Linked DNA regions of Macaca mulatta. The protein of the gene in region 5 interacts with the protein of the main gene of each other region in a pairwise test. Links are inferred from orthologs where the notes say so. Each region holds a gene or a part of one and is shown on either strand. Other genes may lie near its edges. The genes, in order: PRR13, SDCBP2, STAC3, SDCBP and SREK1IP1.

Region 1 (4,443 bases), on a different chromosome or scaffold from region 5:
TATTGAACAGTTCTTTCAAAATTGAATTGCATCAGTTGAGACATGCTTAACTTAGAATGTGACCAATTTTTATAAATGCTCTAAGCATGCTTAAGGAGAATTAGCAGTCATTAAGTTTTGAGAGCATGGTTCAATGCATGTTCATCAGGTCAAGTTTGTTAATTGTATTGTGTGTGATTTTTTTGTTGTCGTTGTTTATTATTATTATTTTTGAGACGGAGTCTCACTCTATTACCCAGGTTGGAGTGCAGTGGCACGATTTCGGCTCACTGCAACCTCCGCCTCCCGGGTTCAGCGATTCTCCTGCCTCAGCCTCCCAAGTGGCTGGGATCACAGGCACATGTCACCACGCCCGGCTAATTTTTGTATTTTTAGTAGAAACGGGGTTTTACCATATTGGCCAGGCTGGTCTCGAACTCCTGACCTCGTGATCCGCCCGCCTCGGCTTCCCAAAGTGCTTGGATTACAGGCATGAGCCAATGTACCTGGCCACTTGTATTGTTTTCTTTAAAAAAAAAAAAAAAAAGTCTGGGCGCGGTGGCTCACGCCTGTAATCCCAGCACTTTGAGAGGCCGAGGCAGGCAGATCACGAAGTCAAGAGATGGAGACCATCCTGGCCAACATGGTGAAACCCCATCTCTACTAAGAAATACAAAAATTAGCCGCGCCTGTAGTCCCAGCTACTCGGGAGGCTGAGGCAGAAGAATCGCTTGAACGCGGGAAGCGGAGGTTGCAGTGAGCTGAGGTCGCACCACTGCACTCCAGCCTGGCAACAGAGCGAGACTCCGTCTCAAAAAAAAAAAAAAAAAAAAAAAAAAAAAAGAGGCCATTGTAGCAATTCAGGGGAGAAATGAATCCAGGCGAGAGATGATGGGAGGTTTAGACCAGGGAAGACGGAGAGAAGTGGAGAGATTCCAGATGTATTTGTGAGACAAAACTGGTAATTTGGGGTAAGGGAGGTGAAGGAGACAGAGGGATCACGGAAGACCTCCTTGGTTTCTGGTTTAGGCTTCTTGACAGATGGCGGAGCTATGCAATTGAGAGAGGGAATCCTGGGAGAGATTATGAAATCTCTGTATTTTCCGCAAGAATGTTTGTTTGCTTCCCTTGCGAGTGTAAGAGGGAGCCGAGAACATTGAGGCTTGGGGCTAGGACTCAGCAGCTCCTCTGCCCTTGCCGAGAACTCTGTCTATATCTGTATTACAACACTTACCATAGTGTATTCACTTTACAAGGTATTGCACCCAGTGAACCATGACTAGCAGAGAGCAAGGGCAGAGTTTCTTCTCGGTGTCTCTAGGACTTTGCCCAGCAGCTGGCCCCGCCCCCTCTAGCGCTCTCCGCCTAGCTCCGCCCCCAGGAGATTTCCGGCTTCTCAGTACTTGCCTAGTCGTAAAGGGCTCCGGTCTGCAGCTAGAGCAACCGTTTCCTCCTCAGTTGGACCAGAGTGATTGATTAGTTTGTTGTCCAATCATCAGCCGAGTGGCCACATAATTACCAATTAGGCAGTAGCAGAGGCGGGTACCGAAGCACGGGGTCTGGGTGACTAGGTGTGACTAGGAAGTAAGAGCCGAGACTGCGAAGAACGCATCAAGTCCAGGCGGCGGTGGAAAGGTGACGTGGTATCTGAATTCCATGGGTTTATTCCTTTTCCCATTGCTGGGTTAAGAGCCCCTTCGCAGCTTGGGGCTAGGATCTTCATTTGCCTTTTTTCTTTTTTGGAGGAATTGGGCTGTGTCCATTTATTTAAGTATTTGAGGTTCTTGAGCAACTTCCTTCTTCGCCTCCAGGCGTATCCTTTTCTTAGCCTGAGGTGAGGTCCTCCCCAGGGAGAAAGTTGTTTGAGATCCTTTCTTACTCTGTGGGTGGTTAAAGGCCTCCGGACTCAGTTCCAGGAAAGGGGGATGAATGATGGGGGTGCCGAGACTCGCGGGCTATGCCCTCTTGCGAAGAGTTAGACGCTTCAACCTAGGTGGAGGGGCCCTGGGAACTAGATTCCTGTGTTAGGAACCAAGTAGGTATTGAGGGCGAAGAAACAAGTGGAAAGAGACATTTCTTTCTTTTTTTTTTTTTCTTCGAGGCGGTGTCTCGCTCTGTTGCCCAGGCTAGAGTGCAGTGGCGCGATCTCAGCTCACTGTAACTTCCGCCTCCCAGGTTCAAGCGATTCTCCTGCCTCAGCCTCCCGAGTAACTGGGATTACAGGCGCCCGCCACCGCGCCCGGCTAATTTTTAGATTTTTAGTAGAGACGGGGTTTAACGATGTTGGCCAGGCTGGTGTCGAATTCCTGACCTCGTGATCCACCCGCCTTGGCCTCCCAAAGTGCTGGGATTACAAGCGTGAGCCACCGCGCCCAGCCAGAAAAGAGATGTGTCTTATGTGGAAGTCGTGGTAGTTCTCCAGGTGGGAGAGCCTACTGTGGGGTGGAAGACGTTAGGGCTGGGCTCCGGTGCTAAGTCCACTTCCTACCTCTAGACTGTCATCTTTTTTGCCTCATTTCTTTCTCCTCAGGCTGGAGGACACACCTAAACATGTGGAATCCCAATGCCGGTAGGTGTTTGGGGGTTCTGTACGACCCCTAACCCTTTTTCTGATGGACTCTGCGTAACAGGAAGTTTCTCTATCAGCTGCCCCATCCCCGACCCGCCACACCCGCAAAAGCAAAGTCCTTAGTCTACAGCTGACCAGTGCTTTTTTATTTTATTTTATTTATTTATTTTTTGAGACGGAGTCTCTGTCGCCCAGGCTGGAGTGCAGTGGCGCGATCTCGGCTCACTGCAACCTCCGCCTCCTGGGTTCAAGCGATTCTCCTGTTTCAGCCTCTGGAGTAGCTGAGATTACAGGCGTGCGCCATCACGCCCTACTACTTTTTGTATTTTTAGTAGAGACGGGGTTTCACCATGTTGGCCAGGCTGGTCTTGAACTCCTGGCCTCATGTGATCTGTCCACCTCGGCCTCCCAAACTGCTGGGATTACAGGCTTGAGCCACCACGCCCCACCGGCCTGACCAGTACTTTTGTCTTCCTCAGAGTTCACTGTCTCCCTCCTCTCTCCAGCCCTTACGGGGACATTCCCCTTTTATCCTCAACTCAGGTTTGTCTCCCCTACCTTCTATTCTCCTTTGTCACTTTTCCATTTCCCTTTAAGTATTGGGTGAGAAAGAATCTCTTTCTTTTTGTTGTTTGTTGTCGGAGACTCTGGGGAATACTAATGTTTATAATCTGCTTCTTCCCCCAGGGCAGCCAGGGCCAAATCCATATACCCCCAACATCGGGTGCCCTGGAGGTTCCAATCCTGCCCACCCACCACCTATTAACCCACTCTTTCCCTCAGGCCCCTGTCCTCCTCCCCCAGGAGCTCCCCAGGGCAATCCAGCTTTCCCCCCAGGTGGGCCCCCTCATCCTGTGCCACAGCCAGGGTATCCAGGATGCCAACCCTTGGGTCCCTACCCTCCTCCATACCCACCTCCTGCCCCTGGAATCCCTCCTGTGAATCCCTTGGCTCCTGGCATGGTCGGACCAGCAGTGATAGTGGACAAGAAGATGCAGAAGAAAATGAAGAAAGCTCATAAAAAGATGAACAAGCACCACAAGCACCACAAGCGTGGCAAGGTCAGTACCCTCTGGAGCCTGGCTAGGGAAGGGGTGCCCCCTCAGAGGGACTAGGTAGGCAGGGGTTGGGTGAGGGGGATTCACATTCTGTGGACGTGGGGGATGACGATTGTGTCACTCTGGTCGATGATTCTTCCTTTTTGTAAAAGATTGCTACTGGGAAGAATCTGATTATCTTGAAAAGAAACATCAGGCTTCTCCTATCTGGGGGGAGCTAGGGTGAGCCTTAAAATAGATTTTTAGAATCAAAAGCCAAATCTTTTCTGCCCTACTCTCTCCCAGAACTTTTGCTCCCCTCCCCGCAGGTGCATATTCTAGCAAGTTGGACCCCCTCACTGACATTATCAAAACATCAATTAAAGTCATTCCTTTGACAAAGCAAAGTCTTATAATAATTAACAGAATAATAATATGGCCCTAGTTCCTGGAGTTCTTTCTCTCTTTCAGTGTTCTTAGGGCCTTGTGTTAATTACATGGGCCCTTTGCCCTATCATCCAGCAGAAAAAGTGAGGACAAGAGCAGTCAGTGACTCAGCCTCTAACAGCCTAGGACTAAGGAGGTTTTATACTCAGCCCCAAGGCTGAGTATCTTTGTTTTAGAGGACTGTTAAAAATTAGTAAGGATCATGCCTGTAATCCCAGCACTTGGGAATTATTAGCTGGGTGTGGTGGCGCATGCCTGTAATCCCAGCTACTCAGGAGGCTGAGGCAGGCGAATTGCTTGAACCCGGGAGGCGGAGGTTGCAGTGAGCCCAGATCTCACCACTGCACTCCAGCCTCGATGACAGACAAGACTCCATCTCAAAAAAAAAAGTGCAAGGATAAAAGCAACTCT
Region 2 (2,830 bases), on a different chromosome or scaffold from region 5:
GCAAAGCCAATCAGGTGGTGAAGAAGGCATCACCCGAGAAGATTGTCATGGTGGTTCGGGACAGGTGAGTAGCCAGGCCTGGGCAGCCTCTCCGTCTGACCCCGGCCATGTCCTCAGGTCAGCTCACTGTCTCTTCCGCCAGGCCGTTCCAGCGGACTGTCACCATGCACAAGGACAGCATGGGCCATGTCGGCTTCGTGATCAAGAAGGGGAAGATTGTCTCTCTGGTCAAAGGGAGTTCTGCGGCCCGCAACGGGCTCCTCACCAACCACTATGTGTGTGAGGTGGATGGGCAGAATGTCATCGGGCTGAAGGTAGGCCGGTGGTTGCACCGGGGAGGGACTGCTGGGTGGTGGGAGGGCTCAGGTCTATGGGCAGCTTGCTTACCCCACCTGAGCCTCAGCGTCCTCTTCCGAAGGTAAGATGGTGTTCATAGGGCTGGGTGCAGTGACTCACGTCTGTAATCCCGGTGCTTTGGGAGGCCAAAGCAGGAGGATCACTTAAGTCCAGGAGTTTGAGACCAGCCTAGGCAATGTGAAACCCTCTTTCCACAAAAAAGCTAAAAAATTAGCCAAGCGTGGTGGTGCACGCCTGTAGTCCCAGCTACTCAGGAGGCTGAGGTGGGAGGACTACTTGAGCCTGGGAGGTCAAGGCTGCAGTGAACTATGATCATGCCACTGCATTCCAGCCTGGGCAACAGAGACAGACCCTGTCTCCAAAAAAGAAAAAGACAGTGTACCTAGAGCTCTGAGCACAGTGCCAGGCACATAGTAGGTGCTTAATAAATAGTAGCTATTGCTGGCTGCACGGACACCTCCTTGCTCTATGGCACTTTTTTTTTGTATAGTGGATCATGTTCAGTAGTAGGAATGTTTTAGAAAATTGTTATTCAGAAATCCATAGGGTCATGAGACTCTTCAGAACCGAGTTTGTCCCAGCCAGCCACACTTCTTGAGATCATTTGTCTTTATTTCCACCTGTGGCCATTGCTAGTCCTGTCTAGCACATCTTCTCGCATTTATTTTGGAACAATCAAGAAAACATGTAACCAGATTACATACATGTGTAAAGTAAAGGTCAATAGGCTCTGAGTAAGGGCCAGAGGTTCTTCTATGGCCACAGTGTTAGTGTTTGTACCGCCTGGCACATGTGGGAGACCCATGTTCTCACTCAAGCAAGACCTTACCTGGGAGTCTGCTGGGACCCTCATCTGACAGGCTCGGGGTCTGAGGCAGCCCTGCCCTGCAGTCAGGCATCTGTGTGTCCTCTAGCAGTGGCCATGCTGACTCCTCCACAGAGGGGCCTGTAGAGTTGCCCCTGGTCCCCAATCCTTAGGGTGATCACTTACTTGCCTCCTCTCTAGGACAAAAAGATCATGGAGATTCTGGCCACAGCTGGGAACGTTGTCACCCTGACCATCATCCCCAGTGTGATCTACGAGCACATGGTCAAAAAGTAAGGCTGCACCCCTCCTCACCCCTCCTCTGCCATCCCGCTCACCTCCCTGCCTCCCGGGTGCACCTGGCTCAGCCACTCCACTTTCTCAGCACTGACACAGGGCACAGACCCCGCCAGCTGCATACTCCCTTCCCCTTCCCCTCCCTCCAAGGTAGCTTGTGGCTTCTGGTGATTCGAAAGTCTTAGAACTGGGAGTGAAGGCCCACATGGGATGCGCTGGCTCAGAAGGGGGTGGAGGTTGCTGGAGGGCGGAGAGAAGGAGCTGCCAACTTGGCCACCATTGTTGCTGTATCCAGGTTGTCTCCAGTCCTGCTCCACCACACCATGGACCACTCCATTCCAGATGCCTGAAGCCACTGGAGGGCAGGGCGGGCAGGGTGGGCCTCCCGCCCTCCTGCGGCAAAGGGCAACACCCTCGGATGATGGGTTGCAGCTGGCCTGCTGCTTAACGTGGGAGCTGCCGTGAGGGGGGCGTGTCCAGGAGGGTGACCATGGGATGGCGTGGGTACGTCGCTTATACACACAGGCCTCCTTGGAGTCTCAGACTCCAGGCTGGGCTGAGGCTCAGGCAGAGCCCACAGGCAGCCGATTCTCTTGTGCTGATTTAAATGCTGAACACGGAGGCAGGCCGTCTAAACACTTCTTAAAGTTGCAACTGGGCCCCTTTCAAGAAATTTTGCTCTACCAGGAAAACAGTTACACATTTGAGAGAACAGAGCTACATTCTTTGTGAGAGCTTTTTCCTTGCCTTGACTTGCTCTTTGTCACAGACAGCATAAGTTATCAGCCTTGACTATCTTTTGAATAAAGATTTGATTTTAAACAAAACCCGTCCGCAAAGGTAATTGATTCCCCCCAAAACTATTGAAAATAAAATAAAAAGATAATTGAAAATTCTGGAATCCTCGGTCCCCTGACGTGCCAGGGCTGGTTTTCTCTTAAACTGTGGCGAGACCAGGGCCTTTTCTCCGTGTGGTCTCTGAGAGCCATGATTTGGCTTTGCCTCTGTCACGTGCCGCCTGCCAGCCTGGTGCAGGGATGACTGGAACTGGGGACAGGATGGAACTGTGGGACGGGGTAGGACTGTGGGGCAGTGGGGCTGGCAGAGGGAGCACTGGCTTTGGGGCACCCCCCATGTGACCATGGCTGTTTCTGCTTCTGCAAAGTGGGCATGAGAAGCCACTTCAGGGGATGTTGGGGAGGGTGAAACGCGATGTGCTCGTGGTGCCCAGCAGGGTGTGCCATGTGGGGGCAGGGGGAGGTGGTTCCAGACCCTGAGCCTGACCCCAAGAGAGCAGTGGTGCCCCAGCCCCGCACAGCTCTCTGCTTCCCTGCATGTCGGAGGCGATCGCTGCTTGCCTGGCTTTTTCCT
Region 3 (4,327 bases), on a different chromosome or scaffold from region 5:
AGAGTGGGGAACTATAGGCCCGACGGAAACCAGGCGGCTGTAGGATGGGATGGGAGGAAGCATTAGAGGTAGCAAAGTAAGGTCCAGAAGCCCATCTCTCCCATGAGTGCTCACCCTTTCTCAGAAAAAGAGATGGGCTGAGAAAGAAAAAGCAGAGAAATGAATGGGATGGAGGAGGGACCAGCAAGGGGTAGCTGGTGACATGTCTCCTCCTTTCTTTTTTTTTCGCTCTGTCACCCAGGCTGGAGTGCAGTGGTGCAATCTCAGCTCACTGCAAGCTCCGCCTCCCGGGTTCACGCCATTCTCCTGCCTCAGCCTCCCGAGTAGCTGGGACTACAGGTGCCCGCCACCACGTCCGGCTAATTTTTTGTATTTTTTAGTAGAGACAGGGTTTCACTGTGTTAACCAGGATGGTCTCCATCTCCTGACCTCGTGATCCGCCTGCCTCGGCCTCCCAAAGTGCTGGGATTACAGGTGTGAGCCACTGTGCCCGTCCATGTCACCTCTTTTCTACACCTTGTTCCCCAGAGCCTACTCACGATCTTGCCGAAGCATCTCTGCATTTCCACATAGGACTGACAGTGTTCATGGATGTTGGTTTTGCAGTTCTTACAGCGAAGCCCAAACTTGTTGTTGACTTGGGAGAGGGGGAGAAAATTCAGATAAGATTCCAGATTGCCCTTTCCCTTTGTACCACTGCTGCTACTCTTAGGTTCCCTTTTCTGTCTGGGACCTTACTTGCTCAATCTCTAACAGCATTGCCTTACACCAACTCTAGCCACAGCCCATCTGCTACAAATACTCCTCTTGTATGCCCTCTCCCCAACCTCTGCCTTCAACATCATACTCTCTTCACTCCCCTTTATGACTCACGAACAATCATCCGGGCACAGACATCACAGAACTTTGGCTTCTTGAAGAAATGATCTTTGAATTTGTGGGGCTTATCGTTGACCAGCTTAGGAGGTTCTGGGAGTGGCTCCTCCTCCTCCTCTTCTTCTTCTTCCTCTTCCTCATAAATGTAGTAGATGGGCCCACCCCCAGCTCCCACTGCCTCCCCATTGGCCTGGGGCTCTGGGGGAAGTTCCATTTCCTTTGTCCCTGTAGAACCCTTCCTGAGTAACTGCTTCAGCCGCTGTAGCTGAGGGAGGGAGTGAAGAAAACCCAACGTTAAAAGGACTTGTCACCCTCTCTAGAGTAGGGGGGTGTTAGAGCAAACAGACAGTTTTCTAGTTTTGGGCAAGGAATGTACCCCAGGATTAGGCAGGTATTGGTATTGGGGACTGCAGGTGCTGGCCAGCAAAACATGAGTCACACACAAATGAGATCAATTTAAGCACTCTTCTTCAGCTGTAAAGGTTTCCTGGCCCCCCACACCCAGTGGTCACAGGCCCAGACTCACCCCGCTTTGCCGAGTCTCTGCTGGGAAAGAGGGCTTAGGGGACTCCAGCACCTCCTTTTCTGTCATCCTGCAAGAGGTTGGACCCCACTATGAAATCTAATCCCTTTCACTCTTCTCCCCCTTATTTCTGTCCCTTGCAGTAGGGCGGTACTCAAAGGGAAGGTTTTTGGAGAAACGTGATTAGAGATTTTGTTGTTGTTGAGATGGGGTTTCACTCTGTCACCCAGGTTGGAGTGCAGTGGCATGATCATGGCTCACTGCAGCCTTGACCTCCCAGCCTGAAGCAATCCCCCTACCTCAGCTTCCTGAGTAGCTGGAACACAAGGTGCACACTACCTGGCTACCTTTTTATTTTTTGTAGAGACATGGTCTTGCTTTGTTGCCTAGGCTTACCCGAACTAGCTCAAGCAATCCTCCCGTTTCAACCCCCAAAGTGTTGAGATTCCAGGCGTGAGCCACTGCACTGGGCCAAATACAGATCATTTGGCAGGTTTTATTAACAGATTTCATGGAAGTCTAGGAAAAAGCCCAACATGACCAGGCGCGGTGGTGCATGCCTGTAATCCCAGCACTTTGGGAGGCTGAGGCGGGCAGATCACTAGAGATCAGGAGTTCAAGACTAGCCTGGCCAACATGGTGAAACCCCATCTCTACTAAATATACAAAAATTAGCCGGGCGTGATGGTGGACACCAGTAATTCCATCTACTCAGGAAGCTAAGGAAGGAGAATCGCTTGAACCCAGGAGGTTGCAGTGAGCCAGAATTGTGCCACTGCCCTCCAGCCTGGGTGACAGAGCAAGACTCCATCTCAAAAAAAATAAAAAATAATAAATAAATAAATAAATCCCAACAGACTAAAGAGCTCCCCAATTAGTTCCTCAAACTGATACTCATCCTTCCATCCTGAGGGGAGACCCCATAGTTTACAGCCCTTACAGTGTTCAAGGCTGCATGGTTTATGTTATTTTCCTATAGGTACTTTGTTTCTCTTGGGAATCTGTGGGCAACAGAGATGTGATGCATACCTTCCCAGATCTCCTCTCTTCAAGAGGTTTAATGTGTGTCCTCGTGTGCGCACAAGGAAGGATGGACTGCAGACATTTGTCCTCCCCTACTTCTTTCTTGAGCCCTGGGGGCCCTGTGCCTAGTTCTGTCCCAGCCTGCCTCAGGGCTCAGCTATTTTAAGTTTTCAGGGTAATATGAGCCTTTCCTTCCCTTACTACTTCATTCCCTTTACCCCACCCCCACCCCCCCTCCAATCCTAACTCATCCTAGAGTAGAATAATAATTTTACTCCTAAAACCCAAACGACTCACAGACAAGGAAAGAAATGAAGAAGCTGAATAGATTATAGATCAGGGCAGCTGGCGTGAGCAGTCGTGGAAATCGAGAGGATGAAGAGGTAACTTACGTTTGGGATTCCCTAAATCAGTCCACAGTCTGTAGAGGGAGCTGGGAGCCCCGAGGCCTTGATGGTGGTGCTGGGGAAAAACTGGTCCTCTTCCTTGGGGGCTAAGCCCCCCCAGTACCCTGTGTTCACACCAGCTACCCAGTCGCTATTTGTAGACCTCCTAACCTCCTGCCTTGGTGTCAGGGCTGAAATGACAGGGCTGGAGGAAAGTGAACAGCTGAGAAACACAGCTGACACAGAGAAATTGGACACTGAGAGGTCTGGGGCAGGGCTGGACCCTAACTCCTCCCATCCCTCCAGAGCTGCTGTTCCTTGATTCTTCATCTAAGGTGAACAGGTGAATAATGGCCAAATTCAGCAAGGGACAGTTTCTGTTCATGCTCATATAACATTTAAAGGGAGTTTATTTTTATTTTTCATTTATTTTTTGAGACAGGGTAAAAAAAAAAAAAAAAGACTAATTCGAACGCATAGAGCTCTCCTATCAGCCATACTAGATGGCTTTCTTTTTTTTTTTTTTTTTTGAGACAGAGTCTTGCTCTTGTCACCCAGGCTGGAGTGCAATGAAGTGATCCGGACTCACTGCAACCTCCCAGGTTCAAGCGATTCTCCTGCCTCAGCCTCCTAAGCAGCTGGGATTACAGGCGCCCACCACCATGCCCAGGTAATGTTTGTATTTTTAGTAGAGACGGGGTTTCACCATGTTGGCCAGGTTGGTCTCAAACCCCTGACCTCAGGTGATCTGCCTGCCTCGGCCTTCCAAAGTGCTAGGATTACAGGCGTGGGTCACCGTGCATGGTTAGATTGCTTTTTATCTGTGGGTGGTTGGAGAAGTACTTTGCTATCCTGTAAGAAAGTGAAGAATATGTAGTATTGCTTCATTCCCTCCATCAGCTCCCAGAGACATCTCCCCACCCTCCTTCTTGCAAAATTTTGTCCTCAGGGTGAATGGAATTACCAGGGCTATTAAAAAGGGCCAGTTAACACTAGACAGAAGGATATAGCTGCCACATAAGGAATCTTTTTAATAATTTCTAAGTAATGTCCCCTTCCTCATGAGAACTGCAAACTCTTAAAGGTAGGATGGCCAACCTCACACTTCCTAAACCCTTTTGATTCCCTGATTCCATCTCCCACCTTTGATGCCTCAGTATGTAACTGATGGATCAAAGAGACAGATGCCATTCTGATCTCACAGGGGTTTACCCTTCTCCTACTCTTTGGGCTGTGACATAGATGAAAGAGGAGATACTCCCATCTCAGGGGAGAGCAATTTAGAGGTGGCAATGCAGTGCTGCTTTATTCCTTGTATCTGTAAGAAATAAAGGACTGTGTTGGAGACTGAGTCAGGCAAGCTCCTGTAGGACCATGGTTAGGGATACAGCTACTTGGACCCAAGAGATTTCCAGGGCAACATGCTTTGTCATTCTCACCCACTACTTTTTTTTTTTTTTCTATTTAAGGGTGAAGTTTGAAAAGGTGGTGCAGGATGGTTCTGACTCTGCAGGTTCTT
Region 4 (3,725 bases), on a different chromosome or scaffold from region 5:
TGAACCATGGTTAATTGTGCGACTTATTGTTTCTGTACTCTTTAAAAACACTGTTGTATCTTACAAGTAGTATGATATAGGAGAAAAAACTTGAGTCAGACCATACTAATAGAATTTTCAAAGTCAGTTTCAAGTGTTATTAAGTATTATCTGGTCTCAGGTATTGCTAGGGACAGTCAGTAGCCTCAATGAGTTCCTGCTGCATGGCAGGGGTGAACCAGCTCTCTTGGCCCTGGTAATCTGGGGTTCCCAGCTGGAAGCAATTTTCCTGACACTCAGTCTCAGCACTGTGAGCTGTTCTTAGGGCCCCTGAATGTCAGCTTGTTCTGGGAAATGATGTCTCCCATAGCTGAAAGTGAATTTCACCTGCCTATCTTCTAGATCATGCATAAGTTTGGTGAAAGCAAATGATGCAGTAACAGACAGACTAAAATGTAACTTTATGTATACATATTTAATTAGAATAGCCATAAACCAAAAAGAAGAAAAAACTCAGGATAAAATGTCACTATCATTTTGTTTGCAAGGAGTCAGGAAATGGAACAAGTTACCAGAAAAATATTCTAAGACCATCCCAAAGTAGCTAGGTTACATAATCTTAAGAGTCAAATGCCAAAATTAAGTATTATACCACTTAATCCACAAATGAACAAAAGAGGAGTCAAAAGTTTATCCTGTTTAGTGTAATAACTTTTACATTAAATATATAGTGATTCACTTCTCACAAAGTGGTGCTGGCAACTTTTAGAAGAAAGAAGTTTCCATTATGCATTGACTAAAAAATCTCAAAAACAACTAAGCAGCTATGCTATAGCTCAGTAAGTACCATTAAACTGTTCTGGGCTAGTGTACATTTCAGGTTAATAGAGATCTACATTTTGGGTTTTAGAAAGGCAGCAATAATTATATTTTGGCTTTTAGTCTAGATGCTTAACATAGTTAAGGCGACAGTTTAAGCATATTAAATGAAGGTAGTTAAAATTTAAGAATCATCACAATCTCTTGCAACCTACATACACTGTTTAATGCTTACATGGAATGAAACCAGTGTTCTTAATTGGCATTTTATACACACACAGAATTTTTTTAAAAAATCAAAGGCAATCATTCTAAATGTACTATGGTAGCATGTTAAAAATGCAAATATGCTATAGAACTAAAGTAATATGAACAGCACTACTCATTACCTAGGAGAAAGGTGACTGGTTTTCACACAAAGCTAAGCCTGTATCAGTCATCCTAATCACAATGGCTTATAAAAGCATCAGGTTTCCAGTAGAGAAACTGTTCTAGGAAAGTCAGTAAATCTCTTGAAAGTTTCACATCTGTAAAACCAGGATAAGGCTACAACTATTTTGAAATCTGAACAAGGTATCAGATGAAAATAGTAAGATTCCCAGCCATAATGTAAGATAGAAAAGTCCTCATGCAGCATATGCTTGCTGGCTCCGGGAAAGCTTCATGTGCATAATACAGAAGTTGCCAAAGAAGGAAACTGGAGACGTTCAGCTGCATTTCCATGGTGCCGTGAATTTTAAACCTCAGGAATGGTGTGGTCCATTAGGCTTTTCATGATGCTTGGTGCCATCCTACAAAAGAGGTGCTTTTATTATATACTGAGATTCTGTCCCCCCCCCCCGAAAATGCTATGTTAATCCAAGAAAATTCCCAATTCCAATTTAGCACCTGTTAGCATCAAATGTGAATGGAGAGAAGGGAAAGATCTTTTAAATGAGTCCAGAAGCATCTCTGGTAATCTAGTTGTTGACAGACCCTCAGTGGGAAAGGCTATCTGTATTTGGCTAGAGAAGTTAGGATACAAATGAATTCTTGTACATTAAACCTGGTGATTTTTTTTTTTTTTTTTTTTTGAGGCGGAGTCTGGCTCTCTTGCCCAGGCTGGAGTGCAGTGGCTGGATCTCAGCTCACTGCAAGCTCCGCCTCCTGGGTTCACGCCATTCTCCTGCCTCAGCCTCCCGAGTAGCTGGGACTACAGGCGCCCGCCACCTCGCTCAGCTAGTTTTTTGTATTTTTTAGTAGAGACGGGGTTTCACTGTGTTAGCCATGATGGTCTCGATCTCCTGACCCTCGTGATCCACCCGTCTCGGCCTCCCAAAGTGCTGGGATTACAGGCTTGAGCCACCACGCCCGGCCAAACCTGGTGAATTTTAAAAAACAGAAAATGACACGGCTGTGATGAGTTGGGGTAGAGGGATCCATCAGTGATTTAAAAAAAGAGAACCTTAGAACAATTAGTCATGACAATAACTCCTTTTTACCCCCTCGAAGCGTAGGGAGGTGCATTCTATCCAGAAGCCAACATACAAATTTCATTACAATGGTTATGTTTATGAATCTTTTAAATCTCATTTTCACATGCATGATAGAGGTTCTGAAAGAAGGATTCCAAGCTGGCTTGACAAAAACAGCTATGGTAGATGCTAGGATACGAAAAGCTGTATAGAAGTAACCTTGTTGCCTCTTTTCATTTCTGATCACTTGGCTTTCTAATCCTCAGTTCCTGAGCACAGATAGCACCAACACACCACACATGTCTATCTGCTTCCTGAGATTCTGGAGAGAAGGGAAACTTACTCCTAGCATTCCACCAGCAAGAATTCTCCATTACGAACCACTACAACTATATTTATACTGAGCAGAGGAGTGGCAGGCAGTACAACTGCAGTCAATTGTACTGCAAATTGAAAGCTAAAAGCATGCCCACTTTTCCTTGCATTCTTCTACTAGGCAATATCAAAACTGAGGAAAGTATATGTGGATTTTATTCCATACTTGGGAAGTTGTAAGAGCTCATCCTTACCAACCCCGCTGACTTAAATAACTTACTTCAAATTTCTAGATAAACACCAGTATTCATTCCTTAGGTAAAAGACCCAAAGGGCTGAGAATTAAACTATAGTGCTTACATTAAGTCACACGACCATATGCATTAAGTTGAGGAATTGTTTACTTACCGCTTAATAATATGTTCAAAGATAAAAGCAGGCATGATTGTAATAGTAACTACAGTCCCAGATGTTGATAGTATGTCTGCAATTTGAGAGTCCTGATAAAAACACATATTAAAAATCAATTCCACAGAGGCTTTATTTAATAAATACAAAATTATGCCAGTCTTGGTAAAGAAATACAAAATATATGTCCTGTTATGTTTTGTTAAGATCTCTAAAATCCTGCTTGGTATTTCTAATTTTTTTCTAGTATTTCTTTTTTTTTTTTTTTTTTGAGACGGAGTCTCGCTCTGTCGCCCAGGCTGGAGTGCAGTGGCGCGATCTCGGCTCACTGCAAGCTCCGCCTCCCGGATTCACGCCATTCTCCTGCCTCAGCCTCCCGAGTAGCTGGGACTACAGGCGCCCACAACCGCGCCCGGCTAATTTTTTGTATTTTTAGTAGAGACGGGGTTTCACCGTGGTCTCGATCTCCTGACCTTGTGATCCGCCCGCCTCGGCCTCCCAAAGTGCTGGGATTACAGGCGTGAGCCACTGCGCCCGGCATTTTTTTCTAGTATTTCTTACCAAGTTTAATTGTACACTATTTTACAGCTAGTAACCAGTTTGCTTAAGTAAACTGAGTTGAATATTTTAGTCAAAAAAAAAAAAACCCTTTTCCTTTCTGAATATTAAATAATTTTCCCCATATACAATACTACCATCTCCTCTTAGTTAACTGTGTATTCTAAATCAAAGTCTACGAAATGAGGAGGT
Region 5 (3,725 bases):
CCTGAAGGAATCACTGGCATCATAACTTCCTTCCAGTCTTCAGCCACCTGTGCATTTTTACTATTAACTCTTTTAAAAACTAACTGGTTAAAGAAATTATTGAAAGTAGTAAGTGGCCATTTCTCTTGTTAATCAGTGCAGTTTCATTCATACTAGCATAAATTTGCACATACAGGCATTTTTTAAAAGCAATTAACCATAATTCTAGTTTAGACCCAGTTCTCATACAGAATAGGTTCTAGAAACCAGGGGCTGCCACTTCGTAGTTTTTATAGAGCATTTAATACATGTATTTGAATATTTCAGGTGTCTTATAAATTGGAAAAGTAGCTCACTTTCAAGTGTTAGGAGTTAACTAATAATCTTTAATATAAAAACAAATAGGAATGTAGAGCTCAGAGTTTTCTGTTCATGTATTATTAACTCATGTGTTGCAGCACAGCAAGATGGATTGCTTATAGGAAATGAGATTATCTAATAGTCTTCCAAATTCTAATACAAATAGTTCCCAATTTTTGTGGTTCGATATGATCTTTCAACTTTATGATAGTGCAGTAGAAATGTACTTCAGGTACCCATAGAGCCATTCTATTTTTCACTTTCAGGACAGTATTCAATAAATTACATGAGATATTCAACGCTTTATTATAAAAATAGGCTTTGTGTTAGATGATTTTGCCCAACTAGAGGCTAATGTAAGTGTTCTGAGAATGTTTAAGGGCGGCCAGGTTAAGCTATGATGTTCAGTAGGGTAGGTGTATTTTGTGTATTTTCAGCTGCAGATAGATTTATCAGGGCGTAACCCCGTCGTAAGTTGAGGTACATCTGTATATTTCTTTTCTTTTTCTTTTTTTTTTTGAAACGGAGTCTTGCTCTGTCGCCCAGGCTGGAGTCCAGTGGTGCGATCTCAGCTCACTGCAAGCTCCGCCTCCCGGGTTCATGCCGTTCTTCTGCCTCAGCCTCCCAAATAGCTGGGACCACCGGCACCCGCCACCATGCTCGGCTAATTTTTTTGTATTTTTAGTAGAGACAAGGTTTCACCGTGTTAGCCAGGATGGTCTCAATCTCCTGACCTTGTGATCCACCTGCCTTGGCCTCCCAAATATTTCTTTTATAGTAACAGATTATTTATTTGGGCCTGTTTACCTTGAGCATCACAAACCTGAAATTAAACTAACTTTTCTGTGCACATTTAGCAGAGATAGTGCCACCTGAACGTGTTGCTATGCCACAGCCTAAAATTTTATCTTAAAATTGAGACTTCAGGCTAGGCACGGTGGCTCACTCCTGTAATCCCAGCACTTTGGGAGGCCAAGGCGGGTCGATCACCTGAGGTCTGGAGTTTGAGACCAGCCTGGCCAACACAGTGAAACCCCATCTCTACTAAAAATACAAAAATAAAAAAAAATAGCTAGGCATGGTGGTGTTGGTGCCTGTAATCCCAGCTACTTGGGAGGCTGAGCCAGAAGGATAGCTTGAACTCGGGGGCGTGGAGGCTGCAGTGAGCTGAGATCACGCTATTACACTCCAGCCTGTGCAACAAGAGTGAAACTCTGTCTCAAAAAAAAAAAAAAAAAAAAAAAACTTTGGGACCAAAAAGCTAAAGAAAAAAGTGCAGGCAGGGAAGAAGCTTTAGTCAGAATCCAGAGGTCAAGTCAAGCAGGGTCTTTAAAACAGGAAAGTAGACAAGATTCGAGAATAACAGAACTGAAGAGGCAAGGGAGCAGGAGAATACGTGAGAAAATAAGCTTTAACAGATGGTCGGAAGTCTGAGTAAGCAGACAAACTAGGAGGAGAAAGGAACACAACATTACAAAAATAAGGGAAAACTCGGAGTCACTAAAGGAGGAAGGCAGTCAAGGAATTCACACACTATACAGACACAAGATAGCCTTGGACCCCTGTAGTCTCCTGAATTTACATTGGCACCTCCTTTATGTCCGTCTCAGGTTTTCTTAGTTTGAGTTTTAACTCCTAATATTTAGATCACTAAACTAACTCTTCAGGTACCTTTTTTTACATTTTAAATTCACTCAGTTTCTGTCTTGTCACTCATATTTTGAGTTTGAGTATAGGTAGAATGTTGCACATCTCTTTACGTAAGATCTTGAAAGACAGTGTTTTCTGTTCTTTTTCTTTTCCTTTTTTTTTAATATTAGAGGAAGGAATCCAACCAATTTTTCCAATTTAGTATTAAAGCAATATTTTTCAAACGCATAATGATAACCCATCCTTTTTCATTTATATCTAGCATAAAAGCATCCTTTGTAACTAATGAAAATTATTTTGTAATGCAAGTATTCATTACTCTCCATCTAGACGGACCCAGTACTTGAAAAATCAGCAGAATTTTATTTTGCTAACTTTCAGCTTTAATTCATTCCTATGAACGCAAAATTATAGCCCTTTAAAATAGAGAATTGCAACTTTTGAGGCAGTTTTAAGAAAATATGCTAAGTTATTATATACACAAGTGAATATAATAAGGCTTGGTGAATGCCCCTTTGTTTGCATTTTAGGATTTTGAATGGTATAACTGCATGAAAAACCAAAAGTCACAGAAAAATAATTTCATCCTTACTGAATTTAAAACTCATTACTAAAATTGAGTGGAATAGAGATACTAGTTTTGTTAATTTCTGTGACCAAGCAGCACAAATTCTAAATTCAGCGTTTTAAGGGAATGCAAATATATGAAGCACATTTTAAGTTTATGTTTATACTCACTACCTTACTTCAAGAAGAATTTAAGGCAGTTCAAATCCCGCTTAAATTTATCTATCAGTCATAAATGCAATTCTCAGTCAGTGTGTATTATTATCCATAGGTCTTACTCATCCAGTTCCACTGAAGAGGACACTTCAAAACAAAAGAAACAAAAATATCAGAAGAAAGAAAAGAAAAAAGAAAAAAAGAGCAAATCAAAAAAAGGGAAACATCACAAAAAGGAAAAAAAGAAGAGAAAAAAGGAAAAGCAGTCTTCTACACCTAATTCTGAATTCTCCAGAAAGTAACTGAGACTTTGGCTTAAGCCATTAAATTTAAAAATTTGTTTTTAAAAAGTGTTTGCCCTTCCTTGGAATTTGCTATATATTGTGCTTTGCAATAAATCACAGCCTTTTCCCCATAGACATTTTTCGTATGTGGGACCATTATCCCTCTGGCAATATATTTTTAATGTGCTATGACTGCAAAGTAATAAATCAGTCTTGTTACTTGATCACCATGCCCCAAGTATAGCTATTTGTGTATACTAAACACATCGTTTTTGGTATTTGTGTCTCTGTGTGTTTGGCTAGTGTTATTACTTCATTAGTTGATTGTAAAATGGCTTTACCGCAGTCAACACGGGTCATCTACGTAGCAGCTAATGAGTATTGCTGATTCAGGTGTCCACCTTCCAATCATGAAGCTAGGTAAGGGGTAATGTTTTGCTCTTGACACAGAAAAATTTAATAGCTTTATATACTAAAATAGAATATCTTTTAAAGATAGTGAAATTCTTCTTTTTTTTCTAAATCTCTAGGGATTTTTTTTCAATGTCATAGAAGGTGCAGCTGCTTAATGGTCTTGACTAGGACTTTTTAAATGAATGGTGTCTGCAGGAAGATGATCATGAAAATATCTCTAACGAAGTTTCACTGTTCTACGAAATGCAGAATTTCTAGTACCTGCCTCCTTTGTTTTTGTAATAATTGAAATATTTCTTTCTTATATAAAGAGAT

Evidence for each region.
Region 1: the proteins of SREK1IP1 (region 5) and PRR13 interact in binary tests that used the Homo sapiens proteins (3 or more experiments, as listed by UniProt). The link is inferred for Macaca mulatta from reciprocal best matches to the Homo sapiens genes SREK1IP1 and PRR13.
Region 2: the proteins of SREK1IP1 (region 5) and SDCBP2 interact in binary tests that used the Homo sapiens proteins (3 or more experiments, as listed by UniProt). The two-hybrid records come from large-scale screens. The link is inferred for Macaca mulatta from reciprocal best matches to the Homo sapiens genes SREK1IP1 and SDCBP2.
Region 3: the proteins of SREK1IP1 (region 5) and STAC3 interact in binary tests that used the Homo sapiens proteins (3 or more experiments, as listed by UniProt). The two-hybrid records come from large-scale screens. The link is inferred for Macaca mulatta from reciprocal best matches to the Homo sapiens genes SREK1IP1 and STAC3.
Region 4: the proteins of SREK1IP1 (region 5) and SDCBP interact in binary tests that used the Homo sapiens proteins (3 or more experiments, as listed by UniProt). The two-hybrid records come from large-scale screens. The link is inferred for Macaca mulatta from reciprocal best matches to the Homo sapiens genes SREK1IP1 and SDCBP.

What each region holds. Positions count from the first base shown.
Region 1 is NC_133416.1:60,591,525-60,595,967, forward strand, and holds the start of PRR13 (proline-rich protein 13), read left to right. Parts: upstream 1-1,519; 5' UTR 1,520-1,614; exon of another isoform or gene 1,615-1,622; intron 1,623-1,724; exon of another isoform or gene 1,725-2,401; intron 2,402-2,509; 5' UTR 2,510-2,529; coding exon 2,530-2,548; intron 2,549-3,027; coding exon of another isoform or gene 3,028-3,091; intron 3,092-3,235; coding exon 3,236-3,609; intron 3,610-4,443. UniProt on the Homo sapiens protein: Negatively regulates TSP1 expression at the level of transcription. This down-regulation was shown to reduce taxane-induced apoptosis.
Region 2 is NC_133415.1:82,842,279-82,845,108, forward strand, and holds the end of SDCBP2 (syntenin-2), read left to right. Parts: coding exon 1-64; intron 65-142; coding exon 143-314; intron 315-1,363; coding exon 1,364-1,455; intron 1,456-1,754; coding exon 1,755-1,809; 3' UTR 1,810-2,286; downstream 2,287-2,830.
Region 3 is NC_133416.1:64,408,779-64,413,105, forward strand, and holds the start of STAC3 (SH3 and cysteine-rich domain-containing protein 3), read right to left. Parts: upstream 3,011-4,327; 5' UTR 2,815-3,010; intron 1,470-2,814; exon of another isoform or gene 1,469-1,469; coding exon of another isoform or gene 1,403-1,468; intron 1,142-1,402; coding exon of another isoform or gene 1,091-1,141; coding exon 874-1,090; intron 638-873; coding exon 540-637; intron 38-539; coding exon 1-37. UniProt on the Homo sapiens protein: Required for normal excitation-contraction coupling in skeletal muscle and for normal muscle contraction in response to membrane depolarization. Required for normal Ca(2+) release from the sarcplasmic reticulum, which ultimately leads to muscle contraction.
Region 4 is NC_133413.1:69,261,734-69,265,458, reverse strand, and holds the end of SDCBP (syntenin-1), read right to left. Parts: intron 3,068-3,725; coding exon 2,976-3,067; intron 1,590-2,975; coding exon 1,535-1,589; 3' UTR 553-1,534; downstream 1-552. UniProt on the Homo sapiens protein: Multifunctional adapter protein involved in diverse array of functions including trafficking of transmembrane proteins, neuro and immunomodulation, exosome biogenesis, and tumorigenesis.
Region 5 is NC_133411.1:72,769,192-72,772,916, reverse strand, and holds part of SREK1IP1 (protein SREK1IP1), read left to right. Parts: intron 1-2,827; coding exon 2,828-3,014; 3' UTR 3,015-3,725. UniProt on the Homo sapiens protein: Possible splicing regulator involved in the control of cellular survival.